Linked DNA regions of Oryzias latipes. The protein of the gene in region 1 purifies or fractionates together with the protein of each later gene. This does not show direct contact. Links are inferred from orthologs where the notes say so. Each region holds a gene or a part of one and is shown on either strand. Other genes may lie near its edges.

The links. The genes of interacting proteins can lie anywhere in the genome.
Region 2: the proteins of atm (region 1) and histone H2AX purify together in Homo sapiens (affinity purification with western blotting; 11 studies listed by BioGRID and IntAct, with this or other methods). This does not show direct contact. The link is inferred for Oryzias latipes from reciprocal best matches to the Homo sapiens genes ATM and H2AX.

The regions. Positions count from the first base shown.
Region 1 is NC_019871.2:24,872,565-24,876,661, forward strand, and holds the start of atm (serine-protein kinase ATM), read left to right. Parts: upstream 1-1,297; 5' UTR 1,298-1,614; intron 1,615-1,994; 5' UTR 1,995-2,023; coding exon 2,024-2,095; intron 2,096-4,097. Other genes in the region: protein NPAT, read right to left, coding at 523-641, 831-867.
Region 2 is NC_019872.2:15,234,268-15,236,649, forward strand, and holds histone H2AX, read left to right. Parts: upstream 1-1,171; 5' UTR 1,172-1,270; coding exon 1,271-1,696; 3' UTR 1,697-1,882; downstream 1,883-2,382. UniProt on the Homo sapiens protein: Variant histone H2A which replaces conventional H2A in a subset of nucleosomes. Nucleosomes wrap and compact DNA into chromatin, limiting DNA accessibility to the cellular machineries which require DNA as a template.

The DNA of each region.
Region 1 (4,097 bases):
AAAGAAGTCATAATCTTTGGCCTGTCAATACACAACAATGTAAATAATGTATGTATCAATACTGTGTTATGTTTAGACAAGTTTTTTATACACAAAAATAGGTTACAGAAATGCCACCCCAGCTTTAGCTTCTTTAATAATGAGGTCAATTTATACTTAAAATCCATAAAGTTAATCGACTCACCTAAAGCCATAACAATTTATGACACCCTGAGTGATATTCCTGATGTCTAAGACAGTTTATTTATATTTTGTATCCCCCTGCTTTTTGCAACACTATCCAACTCTGAAATTGTTGTTCTCTTATGTTATACTTTTCCCTGATTTCTCTATGATTATGAATATACATAGGTTTATGTTTGCATACTGATAAGAATTTTTCTTCTTTTTGCTTCCTTTCCAATTATAGTATTCTCTTTTGTATTCGCCATATTTTGTAATTTTTATGTAAATGTTCTGGTATTGTTTTGTATTGTTCTATAAAAAAAAAAAAAAAAAAAAAAAAGGGGAAGAAAGACTCACAAAAACGCATGCAGGAATGGTCCCATCTCCAATAGTGTGCTCGGCATACTCCTTCAGGTTTGGGCTCTCGTGAATAAAAGCTCTGCTGGTGGCTGGCAGTCCCTCTTCCTGCAGGTATCCTGAAGAAAGATGGAAATCAAACTGCTCACCCCCAAAAAGAAACTGCACGAACACAAACGGAAAACCCAACTGCTATCCCAAGCCGGTGAGCCCTGTCAGCTTTAATCCGCCCATCTTACCCTTCGTTTTCGAGACAGGCTAAAAGCTACAGCTACAATCCCCTCTTCCTTCCTCTGGCTTTGACTTACCCAAAACAAGCCGGGCCACATCAGAAGGGAGCAACATGGCAGCCTAACAGCTAATACGATATATTCGGGGTTTAAAAGATACACAAAAACGTCAAGTAAAAGAATTAGCGACTATAAATAGACAACATAAAACTAGTCGATTTCGGTGATGTTGTTGTCCTGAGGCTGAGTGTACTCCAGCTATTTCAAAAGGCGGGGAACTCAATCATGTATAACCCGGAAGACTTAAAGTGACACACCGATTAGATCTCTGGTAATTGTAGTTAACAACACAGAAAATCTTAGCTAGGTGTTTTAAAACGCCACAAATAACGGCACATTTTCTAATTTTAAAATTTTAGACAGTCTCAACTTCTAATTACATTAAATATTATGTAAAAGTGCAACGAAATCATGCGTTTCTTAAATAATAAATAAATAAATAAAGTCGTTCAAGACGTATACGACCAGGAAGTAGACGTCACTGGTACTGGGGCGGGAATCTGCGTGTGCGTGTAGCTGCTAACGCACGTCGAGGGGAATGGAAAAGTTGCTGTAGGGACAGTAGCACCTTGGCTAACACCTGTCTGTGCACGAGCGCTGGGCAGCTTGGAAATAACAGTCACCTGAGGTCCGTAAAGAAGCCGAGAGCAACCGGTCCCATATGTGTGTCAGTCCATTTCCCTCCAACCTTTTTTACCTTTTTTTTTTTGAAAGGAAGAGGACAGAAACTTTCGCTTTCTCATCCGCCCTGCAAGATAATTATATGAGCTTTTCTCCCCCTCTGCCAGCAAAGTTTACTCAGGTAACAAAAGACAAAACCCCGAAATTTGCACAAATTTAAAGCGATTTCTAACAACACAATGACAAGTCTACAACTCCTAACAATTCTCGTTTATTATTGCACGTCTGGCTTCATTTTTTTGCATTTGGCACAGAATTTGAACGAGCCTTTGCCTGGGCGACCTTCTGTGGTACTTTGAAGGCATTAAGGTGCTTTAAAAAGACATCCATCCACCACGTGACAGCTGTCTGTACACACCCACACTATGCTGACAATCCTCATGTTTGCAGAGCATAAACCATTCTGCATTTTGCCTTGAATGGAAGCAGTCAGAGACCTTACAGAGCCTTTGTGTATGTTGATATTTGGAACAGATGTGATGATGCTTTGATGTTGTCCAGACAGGTACAACAATCAGCTGTGAAGCAGGATGAGTCTGGCTCTACATGATTTACTGCTCTGCTGCAGAGGGCTGGAACATGATAAAGCTACTGAGAGAAAGGTAAAAACGCAAACATCCTAACATTTGGGGACTTAGTAGAAAAATTATATCTTTCATTCATTCATCTTTGAATCCCTGGAGCCTATCCCGAACGCAGGGGACATCCTGGACAGGGGCCAGTCTGTTGCAGGGTCACAATCACCCATCCATGCACTCTCACATTCACACCTAGGGACAATTTAGAGCAGGGGTCGGGAACCTATGGCTCGCGAGCCATATATGGCTCTTTTGATGGTCACATGTGGCTCGCAGACACATTTTTAATTTTTTCTTTTTCATTAGACCAGTCCTTCTCGGGCGCGATGGGATGGCAGAGGCGCACAGTAGTAGCGGTGCTTGGAGAGAAGGATCTGCGCCAGCATTATCAGTTTACAATTATCTATTATTTCACAGAGTTTGTACCAGCCGGAAACCTGTGAATTGCCGTGCCTAAAACTGCGCGCCCCCGTCTCTGAGAAAGAGCGCGCAGTAGCGGGGACAGGATGTGACTGAGAGGGAGAAAGCAGAGGGTGAGGGTGGAGTTGTGGGCTCGGTCAGTAAGGTGAACCGCGCAGGGATTGTAAAAACATAAAACCTGCTGCCCGTCACTCACTGCAGCGTGTGAGTGTGTGTGTTTGGCTCCGCGTCTGCATGTGATCAGTCTGTCTCACATTTACAGAACATTCAGACCTATGATCACGTTTAAAGTCTCAACGCCTGAACGAAGCAGAAACTCACCACGTATCAACCAGACTAGACCATCAACAAAACTACCACGAGAAATACTCATCATTTATTAGCAACAGCATAACAATGTTATTAAAAATAATCCACAGACTTATTGTACTTTAAAAGTGTTGAAATTATATCAAATGCACACATTCACTTGAATATTTAGTTTTAAACATATTGTAGCGGACTGAGTTTAACTTGGCTGTTGGGCCGCGTTAAAAGTTCTGGAGTTCCTTGAACGCATCAAGCAGAGATCTGATTGGCTCTTAGTTCTGTCGCTCAGCTTGTTGTTAGTTAATTTGGACCAATGGGGTTCAGCTATGGGCCGAATAAGGGAAATGGGAGGGCTGGAGCGGGAGGGGGGAATATAAAGTTGGGAGAAGCGCTCTCGTCTCGGCGGGAGAGATTCAGGAGCTGCTGAATTAATTTACGGCATTTGTTACAGCCTGCATTAACCAGAATAAAGAACCTTAAAAGAGGTTAAGTCTCCGTGTGGGAAAAGGACACTACATTATTGTATGGCTCTTTCGAAATTACATTTAAAAATATGTGGCGTTTATGGCTCTCTTGGCCAAAAAGGTTCCCGACCCCTGATTTAGAGGATCCAATAACCTATGATGAAGCATGTCTTTGGACTGTGGGAGGAAGCCGGGGTCCCCAAAGAAAACCCACGCATACACGGGGAGAACATGCCAACTCCACACAGAAAGGTCCCCCATCGATGTTCTGCTTCAGGTCCCCCAGCCGGGGACTTGAACCAGGGGCCTTCTTGCTGTGAGGCAAGAGCGCTAACCACTGGTTAAATAATGGATTTGTGTTTTTTGTTCATTTATTTCAGTTAATAAGGTTTTGTTTGGATTTTTAACTCATCAGAAGGGGGTGACGTCATGATAGAAAATGTCAAGCTTTACGTAGCTTTCTTGCAGTTAAATGTGCTTCAGCTGGAGGATCTTATTTGAAACAATCATTTTGGTCTAATTTATTTTTGAAAAGAATTTGTGTGTGCTGCTGTAATAATAAAAGACAGTCAAATCGTTATACAGTACACAGAAAAAAACATTCACTTTATACTTAAATTATTGTAAATATTTTGAAGTGATTTTATAAATGAATAGCTAAATGGCCTGAGAAACATAAATAAAATTTGTTTTTCGAACAGGGAAGTGGGAATTTGTGGCTTTCACTAGGTTTTGTTCATTTAGAAACTAACCCAAATGACTCTTTTAGCGTTAAAGGTTGCAGACCCCTTGTTTGGGTGAATACTCTACTCTGATTGGCTGTACTGGATGTC
Region 2 (2,382 bases), on another chromosome or scaffold:
TTTTTTCTTCTCTTTTGACAGATATATATTCAAAGGTGGAGCTAAGCATCCACAAAACAAATTTACAAGAATGAAACTGCAATATTGAAAGTTTGTGTGACCTATTACTTGTTCAAAAATTGTATTTATTGCAAATAAATTATTTTCTAAACTATTACTTAATATTAGCATCTGTATTCTCTTTTTTGTGCATTATTCAAAGAAGATTCTTACAGCAAAGATACAAAATACATCAGTATACAAACCTCTTTCCTTACACAAAGGTTTCTTGCAGATCCGTATGGTTTCCCTCTCAAACCACTATTTATCCAGGTATACTGGATGGAGAAGATGTCTTTAAAAAGTAAATAGGTATCCCTTGAAAAGGAGATTTGGTCTCAATGGGAATTTTTAATCAACAAAACTCGATCATATAACTCGAACACAGCTTGGTAAATCTAAGCTGGAGTTCCTGAAAAAAATAAGAGGTAAGCGGTTTGTTTAACACAACTGTTTGTAACAGTATGCTAAATACTAAAGTCTTTAATTTAAAGTAACTTTTTAAGTAAATAGTATCCAGTTGTTCCTACATTCTCAAAATGAGTTATTGGAAAAAACACAAACTGCTTAGATAGCTTTTTGCCAAGATATGCAGCTAAAATACAGCGCAACAAACACGTCCCTTTGCTTATTTATTTATGTAAACATCAATAAAGTTCTTAGATTCCATAACACTCACAATCTTTCAAAATTCACACACATATACTGTACATATCAAGGTTATTTCAGTTTATGCCACAAAGTGTATAATCTGGCATGTAGTTGAACACTTAAAAGAAATGATCTTAGGTTTTGGAATTTTCTAGATACCATCAACTCTGCTGCTCAGCTTCAATTATTCACGTGACTTTGGTCAGCGGCTGTGTTAAAACCGCCAAAGGTTTAAACCTGGAGGGAACATTTCCGATTGGTCTGATGTGTCTGCCACATAGCCACTCATAACATGGAGACCAAAGTACTAACCAATCGTTTCCCTTTATCCCACAACCCTTTACGTGATTGGTTCATAGCCTAAACGCTGTAAATCGAAGACGTTGACCAACGTTTCCGGTTTCGTCTCGCTAAACCAATGAAATCGCAGTACTTCCTCTTTGAAAGCCAATCGATGCTTAGGGCGGGACCAAAACGGGGTTTATATCCAGGTCAACGTGGTGCTATTTGGATATCTGTATTGCAGCACTGAAAGACAACGTTTGTGTTTACAAACCGGAGGGAACTTTCTACATCGAATATGTCCGGAAGAGGAAAAACTGGAGCAAAGGCCCGCGCTAAGGCAAAGACCCGCAGCTCACGTGCTGGTCTGCAATTCCCCGTGGGCCGTGTTCACCGTCTACTCCGTAAGGGAAACTACGCCGAGAGAGTAGGTGCCGGAGCCCCGGTTTACCTGGCCGCCGTGCTCGAGTACCTTACCGCTGAGATCCTGGAGTTGGCCGGGAACGCCGCCAGGGACAACAAGAAGACCCGCATCATCCCACGCCATCTTCAGCTGGCCGTTCGCAACGACGAGGAGCTGAACAAGCTGCTTGGCGGCGTGACCATCGCCCAGGGCGGCGTCCTGCCAAACATCCAGGCCGTCCTGCTGCCGAAGAAGACCGGCCAGGCTACACCAAGTTCCGGAAAGGCGGGAAAGAAGTCTTCGCAGTCTCAAGAATATTAGCTTCTAAGCTATCGCCGCTAAAAACCAAAGGCCCTTTTAAGGGCCACTCACTCACTGAAAGAGCACCTTTCCCCTCATGATGTACATATGACCGATGACTGACTTTACTGTATAAACTACCGTAACATGTACTTAGTAAAACGTTACATTCAGGGCTTTTCATTAAACTGAAAATTTGATTGTTCACTCTTGTTTCTTTGTGTTCTTTCCCTACTCAGCAGAAAATTAAACTATATTAAAGGACTTCATAACATTTACATTGCATAAGGTAGTAAACAAACTAAGATGTCGGAACCGGGATAAATTGTGTCCTAAGGTCTGACAAATTCAAATTAACTAAGTTATACTGCAAAATGTAGTTTTGATCTTACAAAACCAGGAGATTTGTCAAAATTGTGATCATAGCATGTCGTAATTAGTAAAACTAAACGAAATGTTCTTCAAAGTCAGGAGGAAACTAATAGATCTGAATCATGATCGACAATTTGTTCCAAACCGGTTTAGTGTTAAAAGTCCAGCAGGAAACTAAACCCTGACTTAGCTTTGGTTGAATTTTAAACTGTTTAAAACCTTATTGAAGATTTCCAATATAGATTTCCATTTAGTTGCATAACAATTGCCAATATCCAGAGTCAGGTATGAAATAATGCATGTAAAAATAACCAAACCATAATGATAAACCAGAA